Oryctolagus cuniculus: one gene and its partners. The protein of the gene in region 3 interacts with the protein of the main gene of each other region in a pairwise test. Links are inferred from orthologs where the notes say so. Each region holds a gene or a part of one and is shown on either strand. Other genes may lie near its edges.

Region 1 (3,744 bases), on a different chromosome or scaffold from region 3:
GATAATAGCAGGGAGACATCCAAAGCGCCTGGTCCCCTCTTGTTCACCTGGGGCTCTGCGGGATGCTGAGTTGGTTCTGCACAGCCAGGGCCACGCTGTCACCCTTCTGGAACACCATGTCATAAGGGCCTTCCCCAAACATCATGGCATAGAGCACACAGCCTAGGGACTGAACGTAACTTGGTTAGTCCCTGAAAGATCAAAGGGGATGGCATCTTTTCCCTTTCTTTTGAGGGGAAAGGAGACCACACAAGCCAAACAGAATAGGCCAACCTGAGCCACACAGAGCTCCCAGGGCCCAGAGAAACCCCCAGAGAGCTGGGCACCTCTGCAGCCCTCACTTCATGGGAGGGAGACCACTTCCTTCAGTATCAGTGACAGTTTGCAGGAAGGAAGTTGAGAGAGATGGCAACAAGCTGCGGTTCCCGGGGCCCCTTGCAACAGAAACCAAAGACCTACTTCTCTGCCTGACAGCACCTCCGAGCCACGCCCCTCCCCACGCAGATTCCCGCCCACATGCTCCTCACCCAGACATCAGTCCGCTCGTCAATAACACAGTGACTCTGCACGGAGAAGAGCTCCGGGGCCCGGTAGGAGATGGTGCACCGCTGGGCTGCCCAGTCCTAGAACGGTGGCCTCAGAGCTCAAAAGCAGGGCACAGGCCAGGGTCAAGTGACCGAACTGGGGCACGTAACAGAAGGGGTCAGGGTGCGGAACAGGTGGGCAAAGGAACCCGAGGCTCTTACTTGCAGGGTCAGGGCCTGGCGGGAGCCCTCCACATGGATGCATGCTTGATTCATGGAACCCAAATCCATTAACACTGGCTGTCCCTCATCGCCAAGCAAGATGTTGGTGGGTTTCAGGTCCCTGCAGAGAAATAGAAAGGACATGTAAGCTGGAATCCTGGGGGGGGGGGGGCGGGGGGCTGATCACAGGGAGAAGAGCAGAGCCCAGAGCCCTCCCCTTTCTCTTGGTGAGGTTCTTGCTCCTGGGCCCCCTGAGCACACAGGGCCCTCCCACTGACCTGTGGGCATAGCCCTTGGCATGAATGGCCTCCAGGCCTCTGCAGATGCCCAGCAGCAGCCGCAGGATTTCATCCTCAGTCAGGAAGTTGCCCTTGTCCTTGAGCCTTTCTATCTCAGCCCACAGCGTCCCTCTCTGCAACAAGAGTTTCCCCACAGCTGGAGACGGTGCCGGAGCCTCTGGTCTCTGGGCCTGATCGTGTGCCTACGTCAATGCCCATCTGCCCTCCTCCGATCACCTAGACCTCAAACCCCCCACTCCCACATGGGCTCCTCTAAAGCTCAAGTCTGAAGCGGCCAGGACCCCCGCTGGCCGGCTCGTTTGACTGCTCACACAGCCCCTGGCGGGTGGCTCTGTGGCAACCCTCTCCACGCCAGGAGCATTTCTGACCTTAAAGAAGGGCAGCAGCAGCCAGGCCTCGTGCTTAGCATCTCGCTCCCTCAGGCAGTAAGCGACGAGGCGCAGGATGTTGGGGTGATGGAAGAGGCGATGCATGTCTGCTTCCCGCTGCGCGTCCTCTCGGTCCTGCTGCTCATGACACAGGATTCGCTTCAGGGCGTAGAAGTGTCCATCATGTAACCCCTCCACTAGGTCCACATAGCTGAACCCACTGTGGGCCAAAGGGGTCAGTGAAGGGCCACGGTCATCTCCCACAGGGCTTGGATTCAGAGGACTTTTCTGGGAGACGGCAGTGTCTCTCCCATTCAGTAAAAACCCTCCCAAGATGCGGCTCTAAGAGAAGGCTGAAGGTTGTTACACCTTGAGCTCCCCCAAAGCAGGCACAGGGAGACCGGGGAGGTGGACGTGGGCATAACACAGCGCTGTGCACCTGTATCAGGTGCTTATGAACCATGCACTGTGTGGGGCGGTCTAAACCCATGACCTCATTTACTCCTCACAACGCCATCAGTGAGGCGGGATAAGCATCTCCATTTAGTGGAGGAAGAAATCAATGGCTTATCAAGGACAAGCGGATGTGGCTCTAGGAGGCGGGGCTCCAGAACCCACTCTCTGGACTACCAGGCACCTAGATGCCATCAGGTGACCCAGAGGTTAGGGATAAAACCCTTCTGCCTCTGTCCCGTGCAGAACGCCGGTCCTCCACGACCATAACCCTGGGGATTAGGTGATTTCCAAACACTCACCCCTCCCCCAGTTTCTGGATGAAGAGGTAACGCTTATTGTCAATGATGACCGTTCCCCGAGAGCAGACACAAAGCGCGTGGCCCATAATGTCTCAAACATCCTCCTCAAGGACGGGCTGCAGCTGCCGGGGGACTGGTCCAGGGTGAGTGGGCTCTTCCGGGCGAGGCGCCGCGGGCCCAGTGGCTCATGCTGGAAGGAAAACAAACGGCAGAGTCGCGGGTCCGGCACAATCCTCACGACCCCTGAAGGACCAGCGCGGAGAGCTTAGGCTCAGGTCTCGGAACCTGGATCTCCGTGTAGGGAAAAAGGGTCCTGACAACGCCAGCTCCAAAAAGGCCGCAGTCAGGTGCCTTAAAGCCCCAGGCCACTTCCTCCAACCCCAGTCCACCTTTGGGCGGGCCCTTTCCCACGCCCGTCGGTCCCCAAAGGAGGGCGGGCATAGAGTAGTTCCCGAGGAGGTGCGAGCCTCCGGCCCACCTCTTGCAGAACCCACCCCCAACCTCAGAGCGCGGAGCCCGGGATCGATCAGCTCGGACGTCCCACTGACCTGGCCCGGGAGGGAACTCAGCCAGAAGCCGGAAGCGGCGTCTACGTCATCAGTCCGCGCCGGCGTAACGGCCCGCGGTATCCTAGCAACCGCTGGGCATCCCGACGATGTGGGGGCGCGGAACCGAGAGGCCGGGGGCGGGCTAGGCCTGCAGGTGCACGGGTCGCGGGACCCGGGTGAAGGTTCCCTACCTGGCCTTCAGTAGGGGTCAAGACGCAGGCGTCTGCGCCAAGGGGGGAGCAAAGCCGGGCTCGGCCCGAGGCCCCCAGGACCTCTATCTCCCAATGTCCGAGGTAGGAGGCCTCATACCTCCCGTGCGCTGGGTCCAGAATGCGCCCAACTATGGCCCATCCCTGAGGGCGGCCCCGGGAGGGGCCGGTGACCTTCCAAGCCCTGCTCACGAACCTCACTGCCAGTTTCTAGACAGGGGGTCTTAGTAACCTACCTGCTGTGTGACCTCGACCAATTAGCCTGTTGGATCCTAGTTTTCTGTAGCTGTAAAAATACATGTAATAGTGCCTAATATTTAGTGCATGAACTGCGAGGCTAATTCAAATCCCAGCTAGACTAAACTAGTTGTGGGAGCTCAGGCAGTCTACCTGACATGTCTGTCCTTTAGTTTGTTCATCTGTAAAGTGGGAACGGTAACAGTGTTACATAACCCTCAGTAAGTGTCTCGCAACAGGAATGATAGTTACTACTACTCCGCTCCTCACATCCCAGGCTTGGGACTATGAGGGCAGGAGGGTTGGAAATCCCCAAATTCAGCCTTGGCATCAAGCAGTTGTCACTGACATCTCTTGCCTAAATGGGCAAGGATAAGCTGGAGAGGGCGCACACTTCCAGAGAGGATGGGATGGCCAGGATGGGCTCTCCAGGAGAAGGGTTCAACTTGTGACCTGGTTTCCCCCTGCCATAGCTCTGATCACCATGAAGATTTTCCTATGGTTTCCCTTGGTACTGACCCTGTTTTCCTGCGTGTTCTGACATTCTGTCATGTAGATTTAACCTGCTCTGTGTCAGGCCCT
Region 2 (3,644 bases), on a different chromosome or scaffold from region 3:
CTGAAGATATATATATATATATATGATATATATATGATATGTATTATATGTTGATCCTCAAGTATCATCTATAAAGGGGCCATAGTTGAAGCTGTAAGGAAAAGGATAGGTAGGGTTCACTGAGGGGGACTGAGTATAGGCTCAAAAGAACTAAAGAGAGAAACATAGGAAAATTCAAACAGTAATGGGTAGGAGGAGCAGTCAAAAAGATAAAGAGTCAGGGATGGTGCTGTATATGTAGTACAGCCCCAGCTTGCAGTGCTGGCATCCCATATGGGCGCCGGTTCAAGTCCTGGCTGCTCCCCTTCTGATCCAGCTCCCTGCTAATGTACCTGGGAAAGCAGTGGAAGAAGGCCCAAGTGCTTGGCCCCCTGCACCCACATTTCCATGGCTCCTGGCTTCAGCCTGGCCCAGGCAATCATTGTGGCCATTTGGTAGTGAACCTACACATGAAAGATCTCTCTTTGCCTTTCAAATAAATAAAAACATATCTTTTTTAAAAAAGATAAGGACAAAAAAGGGGGGGGCCGGTGCCGTGGCTCACTTGGTTAATCCTCCACCTGCAGCACCGGCATCCCATATGGGCACTAGGTTCTAGTCCCGGTTGCTCCTCTTCCAGTCCAGCTCTCTGCTGTGGCCCTGGAGGGCAGTGAAGGATGGTCCAACTGCTTGGGCCCCTGCAGCCACATGGGAGACCAGGAGGAAGCACCTGGCTCCTGGCTTCAGATCGGCGCAGTGCCAGCCATAGCGGCCATTTGGGGGGTGAACCAACGGAAGGAAGACCTTTCTCTCTGTCTCTCTCTCTCACTGTCCACTCTACCTGTCAAATAAAAAAAAAAAGATAAGGAGTCATCTGAGAGGCAGGAATGCATGGAGGTATAGAGCCCATGGGACCAGGGAACTTTGGAAAAGGAGTGTGAGAGGCATCATCATCAAAAGGTCAAGCAGAATCAGGGGCAGCCTTCTGATAAAACATTCTACACAAGACAGTGGACACAGATACCAAAGGAGCACTGATCAAGGAGTAGCATGACATGGAGAGTAAAATTAGAAAATACCCAGCACTCTTTAGAACAGTTCAAACAAGGAGTAGTGGAGTGGAGAAAGGAATGGATGTGGAGTTTGGACCCCTGAGTTCTGATACCAGCTTTGCTATGTACTAGCTATGTGCATTTGGGCAAGCCACTGCTGCCCTCTGAGCCTCTGTTTCCTGATCTATACAATTATCTCTAAGTCCCTCCTCGCCTTGATTGAGGCATGTCACCTACTTCTTGATGTTAAGTTTTCTCTTCCCTGAATTTCTTTCAGGTACCGTAGTGAAAAGATGACCCTGAGCTATGCTGAATACCTTGCTCATCGCCAGCATCATCACTTCCAAAATGGCATTGGGCATCCCCTTCCACCATACAACCATTATTCCTGACACTGAGCCGCACAACCAGTCACTGGGCCTCTCTGCAGACCTCTTCCCAGGAGACCCTACACCTTCTTGGTCTAGCTATCTCTTTTACTGTACCATTTTATGATGATAGTTTCCGTTGCCATGGTGAAACTTTGACGTAGTCAATTAAGATCATCATGGTAACGGATAGGAAATGGCATTTAAGAAGATCCTGTTTTATTATTTTAGATCATTGACTTTTTTTGCAGCATATATAACTTTTGGGTTTTTCTTTCCTTACAATATTATATAGAATTTTGCTTTTCTTTCTGAGTCAGGTTTCTGTCCTCACCCCCCTTCCTTCCTTCTTTTGACTGTGGATGGAAGAAAGTGTGAAGTTTAAGGATTTTATTTAGGTTTGTGTCAAGCCTTCCTCAGTAACATAGTTACTTTTTGATAGCAGAATTTGGTTATCATTCGTATCAACTTTCAGGTATTTGTGTATTACTCATGAATTTGTCTGAAATTCACATTGCTACGAGAGCGTAGTATTTGGTTCTTCACTCTGTAAGTATGTGTTTTTCCCATGGTTAAAACATATGAACTTTAGTTCTAATCTTGAGCATTCAGAGGCCCATGATAGGCCTTGTCACAGAGAGTGAAAAATCCTTTATGCCCTACTGTGCTGGTTATCATAGAAAGGAGAGATTGCCTCATCACTTTATAGAACCAATTTATAAACTAAAACACAGTTTTAAGAAAATACAAGTTACCTTTCAAATAGGCCACAGAAACCATTTTGAAGAGCAGCAAATATTAGAAGAGAGCAGATACAGAATTTAGTGCCTTTAAGAATATAATTAAATGGAATTAAGAGGGGGTAAGAAAAAGGCAATTTAGAGAAATATTCTTATAAAAAGTTTATTGTTGCTATATGTGAAACAACAGATTAGACAAATTCCTTACTCTTAAGTATTTTTTTAAGATGGAAAAATTATTTTGAGCAAATAACCAAAAAGAGACATTTTTCTATTTTATATTAATTTAAATTTGTTAGCTTTAGGTTTCAATAAATCATCATTGGCCAGATACAATTTTAGCTGCCATCTAAGGATATGGTAAAGATAATCTAAGGAAATATAAATTCATATATGCCGTGATTTCAGATATGTTTGTCATGGGGTTATATAATAATACTAGAGTTTTAGAGATACTATAAAATAGTTTGAATCTCTTTGTGCACTACAGATTCTTGATTGAATCATGTTTACTATGTTGTTAACATGTATTAGACCTGTAAAAATAGAGTTGGTATTCAGAAATGCTATAGGTAGAGCCCAGCTCATTTGCAGAGCTAGTCTTCCCATGATGCATATGAAGAGAACTTAACAGATGTCAATAGGAGGGCTGTACGTATTTCCCCAGGAAAAATAACAGAAAATTCTAGAGAAAGACGATTTTTCATTGTTTGGTAGTAAATATATATATATATATATATATATATATATATATACACACACACACACACATATACTTGGGAAAATACATACTTTTTAAAACAGGAAACAAATATATCAAGTGATAAAATATGCCCCAGAATGGATACTATAAAACTGCAAGAAATGTCACTGAATATCAAGTTGATACAGCTTATATATTTAGTTGCTGTGACAAGTGACAGACTGCTAGTTTAGAATTCAAAAATTATTTTCTAGTTTGTGATATAATTGGCTAAATTCCTTCCGCTTGCCTCTGGGGCAGAGCAAACTGCTGTAGCTTTTGATGAGAGTTCTTAGATGTTTGTTGGTATTCCTTCATCCACAGCATCCATTGTTGAAATAACTATTTTCAGTTGCCTTAACTAAGAAGCCAATTGTTAGCCTGAAATACAATCTAGGTAGCCAGTTCTATTGAGCTGAGAGATAAGTCAGAATAAGTTAGCTAACATCGGGCTTTGGAAAGGGATTTTTTGAGTCCTGTTGTTTCTACTTGGGGGCATTTTGAAGCAGATTAGTCTTTCAGTAAACAAAACAAATGGCTACCTGATGGAAACTTTCTCTTGCCCTTATAGGGAAACTGAGCACAAGCTAAATGATACTGTCTGCTGCAAAAAAAAAAAAAAAAAAAAAAAAAAAAAGTAAAAAAAAGCAAACTGAAAAGAGACAAAATAGATAGACCAACATTGTTATGAAATCCATCATGTCCATCATCTCATCAGTTCAACAGGCTCACCACCCTGGGTGAGCTTATGGTTAGAAGTTTT
Region 3 (3,744 bases):
GTCAACGTCTGCGACGGCGGCGGGGAGGGAGGCCGCGGAAGGCGCCAGTCAGTGGGGCCCCCACTCGAGGCCTCACTGCCCACAGACCCGGATGTCTCTGGGCAGCTGGACGGGGCCAGCCAGCCAGAGGACGCACGCACGCACAGGCACACACACACACACACATGCGCATGCGCACACACACGGTGTCCATGCAGTCCTCTGTGTCTGATGGCAGGAAGGCAGAGGGGGCCGGGGGCTGGGGTGACGCCCGGGGGTGGGCTGGAGTTGGGGGCTCAGGAACAGACAGGCTGCTGGCCGCACTCACCCACACACTCCGGCCCGATCTTGCGGTAGCCATCCGGGCAGGTGCACTCGTACGAGCCAGGCAGGTTGTGGCAGTCCTGGCTGGGCCGACAGTCGTGCAAGGCCTGCGCACACTCGTCCACATCTGCAGCAGACACCCCTGAGCCTCCGCCTGGGGTCGCTCACGCCATCCGGCGAGGCAGGCACCCAGCGTGGGAGGACGCAGTCCAGAAGCCACCACGAGGGCACAGGAGACCCCTCCCACCCGCCCACCAGCCTGGGAGGCAGCAGGAGACAAGGCTCTGTCCACACCCTCAGCCCCCAGCGACCCTGATCCCAGGACACCCCCCGCCAGGGCCCGCGGCTTCCAGGGGTGCAGTCCAGATCAAGGCTCCTGCAGGGTCTCTGCAGCACGTGAGGGGAGGGTCCCCTGGGACTGGCCCCGGACACAGCGAGGGCCTGGATGAGGGGCCGGGCAGCCCCTGGTGGCCCCCAGGAGCCATCAGTAAGGGCTTGGAGCAACGCAAGAACGCGAGCCCAAGTTGCGAGAAGCGTGGCGACAGCATGGGACGCCCGGGCCCAGAGGGACTCACCCACGCAGCTCTCCTGTTCGTCGGGCTCATAGCCTGGCGGGCAGGAGTTGGGGTGCTGAGCGGGGGGCACAGGCGGCGGGGGGCCCTCGCCGTGCAGGTCGTTGATGACGGAAGCGGAGCGCGGCAGACACAGGTAGCCCCCGTAGTGATTGATGCACTTCATCTCGCCCTTGCAGGCCTCGGGGATGGTCAGGCACTCATTCACATCTGCGGGAGGCGGCCTGCTCGGCACAGCCGGTCCCGGGAGGGGGGCCGGCCCCGGGCGGGGCGGGGGGGGCGAGGCAGGAGCCCGCTTGGCCCTCCCTGAGCTCCACAAGCTGAGGCAGCCTGGTGTACCCAGGACCCCTCCCCTCCACACGGCCCCGCCACAGGCTGGAAGTGGGGAAGGGGTTGCCACTGCTGCCCCCACGCTGCCTCCAAGGGGGTCCTGGCCCTGGCTCAGCCGGGCAGTGATCTGCAGCCCCCCCCCCCCCCGTGGACACCGCCCTCCCAGGTTGCGATGGGGCAAAGCCTTCCATGGGACCAGCTGCTCCGGGGCTCCCCCAGTGGCTCTCCCATCTACCCCGGGGGGGGGGGACAGGGTTACCGGGGTTCTTGGAGAGGGAGGGGCCGCCCTGCCCTGCTGGGCTGGGTAGAGCACAGGCCCCCTGGGCTCTGGTCCCTGCTCCTGGGGGGCTGGTCCCCCTGTCACACTCACCCCGGCAGTGCTGGCTGTCTGGGTCCCACTCATAGCCATCGGTGCATTCCTGGAAGGAAACCGGAGGCTGCAGTGGTCACCCAGGGTCCCCTCCAACTGGCCAGGCCAATAGCAGGGCCTGAGCCTGGGCCACCCTCCCAGTCTGTTCCAAACAACGGCCCCCAGCTGCTCTACCGGCCGGGCTGGGGGGGCGAATCTCCCCCAAGAACAGCCTCCGGGGACCCTGGTCTCCCAGTGGTAGGCCACCCGCCCCCGCTGTCCCCACCGTGTAGCTGTCCGGTTCCTCGGAGTCCTGCGGTGACGCTGCCCCCAAGAGCAGCAGCAGCAGCGCCCAGAGCAGCAGAGACCCAGGGAGGCAGGAGGCGAAGGGGAGCATCCTGCGGCCGGGAGGGGGCGGGCGGGTCAGGGGCCTCTGCCACGGCCGCCCCATCCCCCCGCACCGGGCCCCGGCCCCGCCAGCTCCGGCTCAGGTCCGAGCCTGGGGCCCTGCAGCCCCGCAGGACCCGGGGCCCACTCGTTTCGTAGGCCCGGGTTCCGGGCCCACTCCGCCCCCGCCCGGTTCCCTGGCGGTGCGGGCCTCTCGGCCCGGCGGCCGCCGACTCTGCCGAGACTCCGGCCCGCGCCCCCCTCCCACGGGCCGCCACTCACTCGGCCGCGACGCCCCCGCGGCTCCGGCGGCTCCAACAGTGCCTGCGGGCGGACGGACGGGCGGACGGCGCAGCTCCCTGGACGCGCGGCCCCAGGAAGCGCCCCCCGCCCGCCCGCCCGCCGCGGTGCGGCCCACCCCGGCGCCTCCGCCCGCCCTTCGGCGGATTCCTGAGCCCGCGCCAGGGGGAGGGACCCCGACCCCCCGCTTCTCCGCCCCCGGCCGGCGGCCGCAGGCCCCCGCCCGGTCCCCCGCGGCGCCTCCCGGAGCCGCCTCCCGGCGCCGGGCCAGGGTCCCCCAGCGCTCGATCGTGGTGCCATGGACCTGGATGCCAAGCCCCCAGACTCACTCGGGGGGGGGGGCAGGCCCTCATCAGAAACGTCATCCCGCGCACCTGGCTGCTACCTACGCGCGCAGAATTCCTTTCTGCGCACCCACTGCTCAGTCCCGCACCCCCAGACCCTCATTCTGAGCCTCCCCGAAGGTAGGATCCGAGGCCCCACCCAGCCCTGGGGCCTCCATCCCCTCACTCGACCCCCCCAGAATTGTATTCTGTGCCCCCAGACCGTCACTCCAGACGTCCCCAAAACTTCACCCCGGGCCCCCGACCCTCGCCCCGGCACGAGACGCTCCCGGGTCCCGGGAGCAGAGCTGCCCATCTCTCCCTTCTACCCCCCCCCCCGCCCCGCCATCTCCCGCCAGGTGGTCCCTGCGCTCCTGCACGGCCTCCCCCGCCCCCGCGCTCAGCCCTCCAAGCCGAGGTCGGGGGCGGGGGCGCAGGTCCCTTTTGGCCCCAAATGAATGGCAGGCCCCCGCGAAGCAGGGACAGGGTGCACTCGGGGGCCAGGGACGCCAGGCTCCGGTGCCAACGCCTTCGCGACCCTCCTCTCGCCCGCGCCCCCCACTCGGCTTCCGACCCCTCCCCCAGCGGAGGGCGTGGCCGGGGCGGAGCCCGGGAGGGTTCGACTCCCAGGAAGGGGCGGGGCTTCGCGCTGCCCACGTCTCAGGGCTGGGCCAGACGGGAAAGGGCCGCGTGTGCAGGGCTCCCGGCACCCCGCAGGCTGCGAGAGGGAACAGTCGGGTCTTCCCGTCCCTTCCCCATCCCTGCTTGACCCCCCGATCGCCCCCAACTGACCCGGTGGGGCTCAGGCTGATGCATTCCTACCACCTGCCCAGGGGCTGGGGCAAGAAAGCCCGAAGTCCGAATTCTTGAAAACCAAGCGTTCACGAGTGTTGGCGAGGGTGCGGAGAACTCGCAGCCCTCCTAGGCTGCAGCTGCTAACATCATCCGGCTGTGTCCCCAGATGTTACCAGGCAGGTTCGCTCCCAGGTATGCGCCCGGGAGACTAGACGGGCGACAGGTACACACCCGCCCCGGGAGACCGGACGGGCGAAAGGTACACACCCGCCCCTCCCCAGAGACTGGACGGGCGACAGCTACTCACCGAAAGTCTGCTCATAGCAGCACCGCGCTGCGGGCTTCAGAGCGCTGGAATGTAGCAGCAACCCCACCAGGGTCAGTC

The links.
Region 1: the proteins of EFEMP2 (region 3) and STK16 interact in binary tests that used the Homo sapiens proteins (3 or more experiments, as listed by UniProt). The two-hybrid records come from large-scale screens. The link is inferred for Oryctolagus cuniculus from reciprocal best matches to the Homo sapiens genes EFEMP2 and STK16.
Region 2: the proteins of EFEMP2 (region 3) and AMMECR1 interact in binary tests that used the Homo sapiens proteins (3 or more experiments, as listed by UniProt). The two-hybrid records come from large-scale screens. The link is inferred for Oryctolagus cuniculus from reciprocal best matches to the Homo sapiens genes EFEMP2 and AMMECR1.

The regions. Positions count from the first base shown.
Region 1 is NC_091434.1:20,221,825-20,225,568, forward strand, and holds the start of STK16 (serine/threonine-protein kinase 16), read right to left. Parts: upstream 2,853-3,744; 5' UTR 2,717-2,852; exon of another isoform or gene 2,454-2,716; intron 2,359-2,453; 5' UTR 2,255-2,358; coding exon 2,169-2,254; intron 1,634-2,168; coding exon 1,414-1,633; intron 1,159-1,413; coding exon 1,025-1,158; intron 868-1,024; coding exon 747-867; intron 624-746; coding exon 528-623; intron 170-527; coding exon 48-169; intron 1-47. UniProt on the Homo sapiens protein: Membrane-associated protein kinase that phosphorylates on serine and threonine residues. In vitro substrates include DRG1, ENO1 and EIF4EBP1. Also autophosphorylates. May be involved in secretory vesicle trafficking or intracellular signaling.
Region 2 is NC_091453.1:83,311,286-83,314,929, forward strand, and holds part of AMMECR1 (nuclear protein AMMECR1), read left to right. Parts: intron 1-1,308; coding exon 1,309-1,423; 3' UTR 1,424-3,644.
Region 3 is NC_091432.1:5,896,543-5,900,286, reverse strand, and holds the start of EFEMP2 (EGF-containing fibulin-like extracellular matrix protein 2), read right to left. Parts: upstream 2,396-3,744; 5' UTR 2,224-2,395; intron 1,953-2,223; 5' UTR 1,952-1,952; coding exon 1,841-1,951; intron 1,625-1,840; coding exon 1,576-1,624; intron 1,086-1,575; coding exon 879-1,085; intron 431-878; coding exon 308-430; intron 9-307; coding exon 1-8. UniProt on the Homo sapiens protein: Plays a crucial role in elastic fiber formation in tissue, and in the formation of ultrastructural connections between elastic laminae and smooth muscle cells in the aorta, therefore participates in terminal differentiation and maturation of smooth muscle cell (SMC) and in the mechanical properties and wall integrity maintenance of the aorta.